3 linked regions of the Mus musculus genome follow. The protein of the gene in region 1 interacts with the protein of each later gene in a biochemical or structural test. Links are inferred from orthologs where the notes say so. Each region holds a gene or a part of one and is shown on either strand. Other genes may lie near its edges. The genes, in order: Nup98, Nup88 and Nxf1.

Region 1 (3,650 bases):
AATGGTTTTTGTGCTGATATATTTTGCACCACCGTTAATGATGGCCTCTCAAGAGGTACTGCCAAACCTTAAATCATTGGTTTTTGTACTTTCTTAGTTGTGAAGCACTGGAGCCTGACATGGACATTATGTGAAGCCCTATGGGGCCACCTGAAGGAGCTTGACGGCCAGCTGGATGAGCCCAGCGAATACATTCAGACTCTGGAGCGTAGAAGAGCTTTTTCCCGCTGGCTGTCACATACCGCTGCACCTCAGATTGAAGAGGAAGTCTCCTTAACCCGCAGAGACAGTCCCGTAGAGGCTGTCTTCAGCTACCTCACGGGCAGTAGGATTAGTGAGGCCTGTTGTCTGGCACAGCAGTCAGGTAGGAATGAGATTCTCTCTACCACTACCTACTTCTCCACACTACCCCTGCCTCTCAATTGTAATTTGCCTTCTAAATATATCTAAGTAAGATTATTGGTTCCTCTAGAGACCATGTCTTGTTTTCCTAAACAATTCTCTGGAACCTTAAATATTATTTATTTAATTAAAATTTTGTTGATCTTCTTATGTGCATTTGTAATAAAAATCAAAAAATGCAGATAAGTAGAAAGCAATAGGACAAAAATCACCCAAATTCTAAGACTTAGTCACTATAAACATTTAAATGTGTGATCTGTACTTAGGTGGTTATCCTTATAATAATGCATAGAGTATGCACAGATATATGCATATAGGACAACATGTTACATGCAAATGGTTCAAAGTTGCTGTCCAGGTTGTCCTCATAGTATAGTGGTGAGTATCCTTGCTTGTCAAAGATAGCTCCCTGAAAAAAAGCTGGGCCAGGACAGAACCCCTGTAGGAGAAACAGACTGAGATCCACCTGCTTCTGCCTCACAGATGCCAGGATTAAAGGTGTGTGCCACCACTGCCCAGTTTCAGCAGTGTTTTAATGTATAACATTGGCGTATTCCTTTGACAACTGATGAACTGAGTCTTTCCTCCCAAACCTGGAAGAAGATGGTGATAGCCTGTGTTTCATTAGGTCTGTAGATCCTTAGACCTCATGAGAAAACTTGTGTTTCTCTTATAGGTGATCATCGCCTTGCCCTTCTTCTGTCTCAGTTGGTGGGAAGCCAGTCAGTCCGGGAGCTGCTCACCATGCAGTTGGCCGATTGGCATCAGCTCCAGGCTGACTCCTTCATCCACGATGAGCGATTGCGCATATTTGCCCTGTTGGCTGGAAAACCGGTAATGTCATACTAATTTTCTTATAAATCTTAGACTATTAATATAACTGACAGTTTGGCCTTATTTCTAGGTAGAAATATTTTCAACCTAGTGTCAGTTAGTTGGGCATGCTGGCATACTCCTTTAGTCCTAGCACTTGGGAGATAATATTCAGGTGGATCTCTGTGAGATCTAGACCAAGTTCAAGACAAACCTAGTCTAGAGAGGTCCAGGATAGCCAGGGCTACTTAGGAAACCCTGTCTCAAAAAAAGAATTTTTAGAAAAAAAATTATTACATTTGTTTGTGTTTTTGCACACTTGCTCTCAAGCACGTGTGTGTACCCTCTGGCATGTGTATGAAGAACAAAGGATAACATGCCAGAGTTGATTCTCTCCTACCTAGTGGGTCTTGGGAGTCAAACAGGTCCTCAGGCTTTACCCATTCAGCCATCTCACTGGCCTAAAATACTTTATTAATTAATATAAACTTGAAATAATATTGGGGCTGGCAAATAAGATTGGGGCAGGTAAAGAAACTCACTTGCTGTCCAGCCTGAAACCTGGTCAGTCATGCCCTGTAACCACCTCTAACAAATTCTGCTGATCTTCATACACCATGGCATGCATGTGCTCACATACAAAAAGTCTATCCTATGTCAGTAATATTTACATAGTAAACAATGTATAATTATGTCTTCTCAGACATTTTAAAATCTATATTGATGTATAAGTTCATATTTGCACAGTTTTTAATAGCCACAGCTTTTCATTTTACCAAAATGGAGTAATTATTTTAATCCAGTTTTTGCTGTTTACTCTTTGATTATCTCTTGTGTCTGTATGTCCTTCTCATACTGATTATGGCAAGAAAATGGGAGGAGAGATTTCACATCGAAGCCATAACATTAAGACTGGGTGTGGTGGCATACTCCTTTAATCTCAGCAGAGGCAGGAGGATCTCTTGGTTCAAGGCTAATATAAGTGAACAGCTTATAGACAGGCAGTAGTAACCAAGGCAACCTAAAGTTGACATGGTAATGTTCTTGTCTCCTGCAGGTGTGGCAGCTCTCAGAGCAGAAACAAATCAATGTTTGCTCCCAGCTAGATTGGAAACGAACACTTGCTATCCATCTTTGGTATTTGCTTCCGCCAACCGCCTCCATTTCCAGGGCTCTCAGCATGTATGAAGAAGCATTTCAGGTGTGTGTGTATTCAGAAGAGCCAAGTGAGAACTCTAGTAGGTGCTTTGTCTTTCCAGAGAAGTCCTGCAAGCTAGATATGGTAGGCACACCTTTAATCCCAGCACTTGGGAGATAAGAGGCAGGTGGCCATCTAGGGCTACATGATGAGACTCTGTCTCAAAAAATTTTTTTCTAAAGTCATAGGAAAAAACCATCAAATAACACAATGCTTATTGCTGATTGCCCTCTTTCAAAATAGTATAAAATTGAAGTAGACCCAGCAAATTCAGAACTTTATCCTTTACCTTGCTTGCCTCGAGACAGGGCTCCTCTTCAACTTCTACCATTAACTTTCTTTTCAGAGGATGGGGGTGGTACCTTTTTATTTTTTTATTTTTTCTTTATTTCCTTTGTGGGGACTCTTTGAGACATGGTTTCTGTGTAGACCTATGCTGTCTTGGAACTCATTCTGTAGACCAGACTAGCCTTGAACTCAAAAATCTGCCTGCCCTTCCTGCCTCTACCTCCCCACCAGTCTACCCACCCTTTGCTTCTATTCTATTTAAGAAGTCATGAATTCTCTACTATTTTTTTCTACTTTTACGTGAAGTGATTTTTCATTTCTAAGACTAGCTTATCCCTTTGGGAATTGCTTAAGCCTGACATCAGGTTAAATTTGCCCCTTATTAACATTTAAGCTGAAAATTTTCAATGACATATCTCATGTCCCTTGTTATGATTGAAGTTAGAAAGTTGTTTTGAGCCGGATGTGGGGCACCTCTTTACTACGAGTGCTTGCAGGCAGGTGGTGCTCTGTGAGTTCTAGGCCAGCCTGGTCTAAATAGATCCAGGACACCCAGGACTACATATAATAGCTGTCCTCAACCTGTGGGTCATGACCCCTTTAGAAGTCAAACAACCCTTTCATAGAAGTCGCCTACAACCATGAGAAAACACAGATATTTACATTACAATTCATAACAGTAGCAAATAGCAGTTATGAAAGGCAACGAAAATAACTTCCTGATTAGAGTCACCACAGCTTGAGGAGCTGGATTAAAGGGTTTCCGCATTAGGAAGGCTGAGAGCCGCTGGCAGAGCTTGTCTATACAGGAGTCTTAATGATTGAGCCATGATACTACTAATTGAAAAGAGCTGTTATAATGCTTTTGTAAATTCTTCCTTTTCAGAATACTCCTGAGGGTGATAAATATGCCTGCTCCCCTCTTCCTTCTTACCTGGAGGGCTGCGGC
Region 2 (3,750 bases), on another chromosome or scaffold:
ATGTATCAAAAGATGGCCTAGTCGGCCATCACTGGAAAGAGAGGCCCATTGGACATGCAAACTTTATATGCCCCAGTACAGGGGAACACCAGGGCCAAAAAGTGGGAATGGGTGGGTAGGGGAGTTGGGGGGGAGGGTATGGGGGACTTTTGGGATAGCATCGGAAATGTAATTGAGGAAAATACCTAATTAAAAAAAATTTAAAATCCAAAAAAAAAATTAACACAGTATTCTTCAAAAATAACAGCAGGGACTGGGAAGGTGGCTCAGGAGTTTAGAGCACCTGCCGCTTTTGCAGAGGATCCAACATTGGCTCCTAGCAACCTCGTAGCAGCTAAACTCTAACTCCAGTTTAGGAGATTTGACACTCTCTTCTTGCTGTCCAGGCACACAAGCACTGCACTTACTAAATGAAGGCAAACCACTCATACATGTTTAAAAAAGAACGGACAACAATAGTACCACAGGAAGTCAGTGTGCAGGACCATACAAATGCTCAAATGTTTCAATAGTGGCCCCTAAATACATTTCAACCATTTTGGGTCTTAGCAACTTACACAGATAAATACTAAATGAAAATACAACTTACCTACAATTCACAGTTGCTTTTCCACCTTCAAATTCAGAGTCCTTCCCCCACCTCTGAGGTAATTCTAATGCCATAAGTCCTTTACTTCCGATAAGTGCTACATGATGTTGGGTTGGACTCAACAAGACTTGATGGATTTCAAACAAGGGTGGATTAATGCAGAGTAATCTCTGAAAGTAAAACCATTTAGTAAAAATAGTTAATTTTAATATAAATTTATTTCAGAGTTGCTTGAAACCATAATCACGTTTTAAATTTCTAAAGTTATAAATAGCATTCTGAGCATGTACTAACTGTGTCATTAGCTGATTATTCCCCAAGAAATAATCTCTAGGTTCTTGATAGATGACAACACCTAAAAGCACTTGCTGCCCTTGCAAAAGACCTGAGTTTGGTTCCCAGCACCCATATTCTTGGGGCTCATTCATATTCATATTCTCTCTCTCTCTCTCTCTCACCAAACACACACACAAACTGAAAATAAAAACCACAGGGCTACTCTTCCAGAGGACCTGGGTTCAATTCCCAGCCCCCGCACGGTGGCTCTGTAGCATCTGTGTGCACCAGGCACATAGATGTTATATGCAGCACTCATTTGCAGGAAAACATACATACCCAGAAAATTTAAAAACAAAAACTTAAAAAAAAAAAAAAAAAAAGGGAGAAATTACCCCTGATCTTGCGGCCAGGGAACAAAGGCATGTTTTCTGTAGTTCCACACCACAGCTCTGGGTAATACCACAGGTCTTAAACATTCTAAACTTTCCCTGACATAACCCAGTAGGCGCTACTTGAGATTTTTCTTCTGTGTTCCTGGCCTCAAGCAGACTCTTGATACCCAGTAAATACATAAACTCGGAAGTATCAACAGATTACCATCTTATAACTGTACTGTAGAGAAAGGAAGAGCTTCAGGCCAAGTGTAAAGGTTCACGCCTTTATTCCCAGCACCAGATAAGGTGCAGGTGGCTCTGTTTGAGCTCCAGGTCACCCAAGGTCACAGGTAAGGCCCTAGATTACCTTCAAGCGCCTTGCAGCAAGCAGTACTGCTTCATCTACGTGGACTTAATATAAAAGAGTGATAGTTTAAGGGAGTTTCAATAATTTGTCATAGCATCATATAGCCTCAAAAATACTCTCACCCTGGTACTTCCTATTTCTTTTCTCATGACCATTTTAGATTTCTAATTTCTTTTTATTATTCGTAAATAATGATGAGACCATCAATATATTATTTACCTTAGTATGGAGAATTATACTAAGCCAAAAATCCTTTTAAATAAGGATTTCTTTTGAATATAATAATATTTCTAATTGCTTTTAAATCTGTAGGCCCATGTCTTTAAATGCCTGTTGTAGAACTGGGCAGTGGCAGCACATGGCTTAATCCTAGCTCTGATCAGGATCCTCCAGATCTCTGTTAATGAGGTCAGCCTGCTCTACAGAGTGCGTTCCAGAACAACCAGGGCTGTTAACCCTGTCTCAACAAACCCCTCCACCCCCACCGAAGCAAATCACAGATATTACGGAGCTTGTGCATGCTCTAGGTTTATGTCAGGTGCTGGACACACACACAGGCCTAGCCTCTGTTTTGGTGTTTATAAATGACTTAGACCCGTAATCTCAACACTCAGAGACTGGGGCAGGAGTTCCTGGCTAGCCTGGGCTACATAGTGATTCCAGACCAGATTGAGCTACAAAGCGGGGTCATTCCACTCGAAGTGGGGCGTTCCCAAAAGACGCCAGCCCAGGTCCGCCAACGAACCAAAAGGCTGATTGCTTTCACGATGGACCGGCGCACCTGATACTGGGAGAGAGGAGGCTCCACGCCACCACCGCTGGGGCCTCGAAGGCGAACCACCAAGAAGGCGCTGCCTTCTGCGTCCCACAGAAACAGTTCCCCTCCGAGGCCGAAGACCAGGTTTCTCGTCGGCAAATGCGGCGGCAGAGACGGGCACGAGGGTGAAGTCGAAGCCGCTGGCTTCTCCGCTTCGGCTGGACTCTGGTTTCTTACGCCCTCGCGGAGCCGCAAGAACACGACGTGGTTAGGAAGCCAGCTCTGCCACAGCTCCCCATCGCCCAAGGGCCCCACGGCAGCCGCCATCTTGAACTAACAGCTCAGGATTGAGGGGCGGGAGGAAACGAAGCCCGCTGCTGTGCGTAGCCAATCCGCGGCCAGCACTTCACAGCTTCAGCCTATCAAAGTGTAGGAATCTCGAGAAGTTGGCCCAATAAGAAAGAATCGCTAGAGGATAGACAGGGCCGCGGGTTGAAGCCAAGGTGGGCGGGGCGGGGCGGGGCGGAGTGGAGTGTAAGGATCGCTTTGGGGCTGCTGCTGGGCCAGTGAGGGGGTAGCGTTAAGGATGAGAGATGTGTGTCTGATTGTCTACTGGACAACTTCCTCTGGGTAAACCCAGAACTTTCTCTCAAGATTCACCTCCCTCAGCCCGGGTGGTGTTTACTTCTCAACTGTCACTGCTTCATCTATCCTCGGATTCCCCTAAATCTGTCACTGTGAGGGGATAGAAACTAGATACAATTCCAAGAAAGCCCGGCGGCCTGAAGTACAGACAGACTGCGCCGAGACTACAACTTCCAGAATCCTTTGCGCGCGGCTAAGGGGCGGTGATTTGGGCGCTGTTTCCCGCTAAGGGAGGAGATGGCAGAGTCCTCGGGGTCTCCGCACCGCTTGTTGTACAAGCAGGTGGGCTCGCCCCACTGGAAAGAAACTTTCAGGCAGGTGAGTGTGAAGTTTGGGTTGTCATCACTTCCCTAATCTTCCCAAGGACCTCTGTCCTCGGTGTGCTCGCTTCAGCACTGGTTGTGGAGCAGGTGCCCGGTGTGCCTGGCCAGCGAGGTGGATCTCTTGCTATAGGATTGGGTCCCGGCCGCCGCCCGGGCTGTTGGCCGGCGTAGGTGTTATGCTATCCTAGGATTCGACTTTGTTTCATATTTTAAGAGTCATGACAGCAGTAGCAACACCACCACCTAACGTTCGGTTACAGAGGGAAGCACTCCGTATGTATACGTCACGTGAGATAGAAGTTATTTCTCTCCTGAAGAACATCAGACACGGTTAGGAGAGTTGAACTTAAGCTCCGCCTTCTTCCGAACTCAAGTAGTTCCTTCTAAGAAGCAGCTTATCTCCCTGTTCAGCAGTC
Region 3 (3,650 bases), on another chromosome or scaffold:
AAGGAAATTGGAGGGGGTAGCTCATGGCCATCCTGTGAAAAGAAGTGAATGTAATATGAGAAACTGAAGAAAGACTGGATTTGTGAGCATAGAGAAAAGCTAAAAGACACGGAGAGCGTGCAGGGATCCTATATAAACTTTGTCCACAGGCATTTCTAAGATGAAGATTACCACTGTTAGCAGATTCTCAAACAAATCTACACACCCACATTAGTGGTCACAAAATAGAGGCAAGACCTTGGTTGTCCCTGTTCTTGAGAACAAAATGTTAGACTTACCAGGCGTAATAACTTGGGAAATCGTTCGCGAATGGCGCTGTCAAGAACGGGACAGAAGTGAGTGACGCTTCAGAGCCATCATGCCTCCTGGGCTGCTCTAGGAGCAAATACACCAAAAACCCGAGGAACAGCCCATCCCATCCTGCTTATCGCCCACTCCTCCCCAACTTAAACATGGGGACAAGAACCCCCATTCCCCTCCTCACCAGGGGCACCCCCTTCTTAATTGCCTTGAAGGCTGGCTCTGTTGTCTTGCTGCCTGATCCCGAGTGCCACAGGAGGGCACTCTCAGCCCAGGCTTTAAGCCTAGGGCTGCCTTCCCCACCTTGCCCCCCTTACCTTCCACCTACTCACCTGTGCAGCCCCGGGAGGAGGGAATGGGGTTGGAGCCCAGGGGCTCCGCTGCCTCACCAGGTATCCACCAGTTCTGCCAGGTCTGGCCTTCGCCAAGACCAGAACACACCACAAGTATGGCACAGGATGTTGGGGCAAGGAGATGAACAAGACAGGGCTCAAGGAGGAGGAAAGAAAAGAGACCAAGGGAAAGAGAAATGGAGAAAGGTAGGGCAGGAACAAGAGAGAAATGGAGAGACAAAGAGGAAGCAAAGCAACAGGGACAGACCTGAAGGCAGAGGCATTCAGAAAAGAATGGCAGAAAGAAAGACCTCCTGAAACAGCCATTTCCTTCAGCTGCCCTTTTCCTGTGGTCCCAAGGTAGAAATGAAGAATAAATCCTATAATGATTTGCAGTTGCTGTTGGCCAGGTCTCTGTCTGCTCTCTGGGTCCCGGTCTAAGCTGGGCGTGGGAGGTAAAGTAGCCATGGGGCCAGGAAACCTCCCTCAGAAGACATGAGGATTCAGGCCTCTGCCGAGTTGGGGGGGTGAGGGTCTGTGCCCCACCTCAGTTGGCCCCCAAGTTCTCTCCTGATGGCCCCTCTGCGACTGTGCCTGTCTTAGGTTGTTCCTTCCCTGAGGAATCTTACCCGTCTCTGGCTAACCAGCCATCCTCGGGGCCAAGCAGGGTGACTGTGAGGTGTGCGAGTGAGGGAGGGGCTGTGCCCGACAGGGTCATTTCTCTGTCTCCTTGGTAGCAGATGCCCCTGTGGCCTCCACGCCCAGCACTTGCCTTGGGATCCCCCTCGCCTGCTGGCGGGGCCCCGGCTTTGATCACATCTTAGGGAAACCCAGATTTCTTCTCCAGGAAAGGCCCAGTTCACAGCACTGGGCAAGAGAGACCAATAGCATGGTACCAGCCTCCAAGAGGCATCAACATCAGCATGGGCAGAAAGGACCAGGCCACAGCCTTGGCTAAGTGGATCATGAAAATAAAGAGTCCCTCTTGGTACAACGGCAAGAGGGACCATGAAAGGACAAAGGAAGGCCTGTCTCAGTAGACAGCCCCAGTAAGAAAGGACTTTCTCACAGCCTAAGCACACCAGGCTTTTGCTGAAGACAAACACACAGGTAGGGCATATATAAGACACCTCCACATCAGAACAGAAAAGGGGAGGTGCTCTTCCTGGAATAACAGGTAGGGAGATTCTAGAAAAGGCTGTGTTCAAGAAAGAAGGAGAAAGGCCAGAACTAGAGAACAGAAGTCAGGTGAGAAGAAAGAAGAGATCTGGGACAGAGCTAGGAGACAACAGACAGGCAGAAAGGAATACATGATCCTCCTCCCAAAGAACAGGTGGTTCCAGCTCAGGGCTGCATGTTCTCCTGTAGACGGGCACTGGTCAGGGTGCATGAGCTCAGCCTCCCAGGGGTGAATGTCCCCAGGAGGGGAGACAGAGGCTACAACTGACCTGATATAGCTGGACTGGTCTCCGAAGTTGTCACACATGGGGTTTCTGTCAAGCCACAGCTCTTCCAGCTTCAGCCCTTTTATCTTGTCTAATTCCCGCTCAGTCTTCAACTGTGAAGGATGAGGAGAGTAAAAGGGAAGAAACAGACCTTACTAAGAATAGCAGCTGGATTCCCACACTTCTAAATCCTACCTAAGTTTTGTTTCTTGCTTCCCACTATGGCCAGCCACACTCTCCTGGCTCCACCATCACAGAAACACAGCAGGGTCAGTGTGATGGCTTAGTGGGCAGGAGCTCTCACCTCATAAGCATCACAGCCCAAGAACCCACGTAGAAGGAAAGACTCAACTCCCAACACAGTCTGACCTCCACCTCCATAGTCAGTTAACTATTAAAAACAAAAGCACCCTAGATGTCAGTCTTACTTCGTTTCCGGAGAGATTTAGGGTCTTTAGGTTTGGCGCCTTCTGCACAATGCTAGACATATCATCCAGCTTGTATAGCCTGTTGCTGCTCAAGTTCAAAGACAATAGCTAGGAACAGAACAAAGTTTAGATGTGTTACCACGGGGCAAATCTGTATCTCATCCTATCCTACACATCTCACCCTGATTTTTAATGCAAAAATAAATAAATAAATAATTAGTTAATTAAATTAAAATTAAAAAAAAAAAAAGCTTCACCTCAGGAATGTTCTCTTCAATGATCCGCAGGGTGGCTGCCATACAGCTTCTGCGGTTTAGAACAACATCGATGTTCTGGGCCACCAAATCTGTAGCAAATAGAAAGAAAAGGAAGTCTGAGAGGTCTTGCCCATACCAGTGTTATAAAGACCAATTGTTTCCCCTCTCCAATTAGTCAGAACCATTGTTGTCAGTCATACCTGGGTCTGAGCGGAGCCCCTTGAGGTCAAGTGCTTGTTGGTTGCCATCATATCGTTTGCTCATGATCAGCTAGAAGAAGGAAAACGAAGGGTTTAGTCGTCACTGATGGAGATTGAAAGTCTGCTGGACCATGTCACTTGAGCCAGCCTTACCTTGAGCTGCTCTATTTGTTCGGGCTTCAGTTCATTCTGTACAGTGTAGGGTGGAGCAGAAGCATTGATGATGATAGATATCTGAAGAGAAGACAGAAAGGCAGGAACATAATTGAGGGCAGCCTAATCACCAGCACTAAGACTTAGTCCCTTTTAGTGCACCAACTGTGCCATACCAGGCCCTTGTCCACATACCCTTCTGTTTTCTCGATCCTGGATCTTATGGTTGACACCCTTTAATGCAGAAGCAGTAGTGGCATCCTCCACAAAAAAATGGGCCCGTGTATTTTCATAGTGAAACTGGAAGAAGGAAAACAAACAACATTCAATCTGGAGTCCACAGGTCCTTCCACAGCCTTTCAGGTCTAACTCTGTCTTACCTCGATGGGATTGAAGGGGACACTGCATTTGCTCTGAATCATGCTCAGAAGCCACGTTTTGTCATACTTTCTACCATAAGGAATCTGGAAGTGAGAGACAAGGGTACACATGTAACCAAGCCAGCATATTTCAGTTCTCCTTTTATTTTCTGCCA

What was found.
Region 2: the proteins of Nup98 (region 1) and Nup88 form a complex in vitro, tested with the Homo sapiens proteins (2 studies listed by BioGRID). The link is inferred for Mus musculus from reciprocal best matches to the Homo sapiens genes NUP98 and NUP88.
Region 3: the proteins of Nup98 (region 1) and Nxf1 form a complex in vitro, tested with the Homo sapiens proteins (5 studies listed by BioGRID and IntAct). The link is inferred for Mus musculus from reciprocal best matches to the Homo sapiens genes NUP98 and NXF1.

What each region holds. Positions count from the first base shown.
Region 1 is NC_000073.6:102,126,530-102,130,179, reverse strand, and holds part of Nup98 (nuclear pore complex protein Nup98-Nup96 isoform 1 precursor), read left to right. Parts: intron 1-97; coding exon 98-364; intron 365-1,078; coding exon 1,079-1,236; intron 1,237-2,272; coding exon 2,273-2,416; intron 2,417-3,587; coding exon 3,588-3,650. UniProt on the Homo sapiens protein: Plays a role in the nuclear pore complex (NPC) assembly and/or maintenance. NUP98 and NUP96 are involved in the bidirectional transport across the NPC. May anchor NUP153 and TPR to the NPC.
Region 2 is NC_000077.6:70,967,259-70,971,008, forward strand, and holds the start of Nup88 (nuclear pore complex protein Nup88), read right to left. Parts: upstream 2,716-3,750; 5' UTR 2,694-2,715; coding exon 2,391-2,693; exon of another isoform or gene 1,829-2,390; intron 760-1,828; coding exon 590-759; intron 1-589. Other genes in the region: Rpain (RPA-interacting protein), read left to right, coding at 3,249-3,329. UniProt on the Homo sapiens protein: Component of nuclear pore complex.
Region 3 is NC_000085.6:8,763,462-8,767,111, reverse strand, and holds part of Nxf1 (nuclear RNA export factor 1), read right to left. Parts: intron 3,580-3,650; coding exon 3,496-3,579; intron 3,416-3,495; coding exon 3,311-3,415; intron 3,197-3,310; coding exon 3,116-3,196; intron 3,033-3,115; coding exon 2,963-3,032; intron 2,852-2,962; coding exon 2,763-2,851; intron 2,614-2,762; coding exon 2,506-2,613; intron 2,191-2,505; coding exon 2,081-2,190; coding exon of another isoform or gene 1,837-2,080; exon of another isoform or gene 316-1,836; coding exon 279-315; intron 33-278; coding exon 1-32.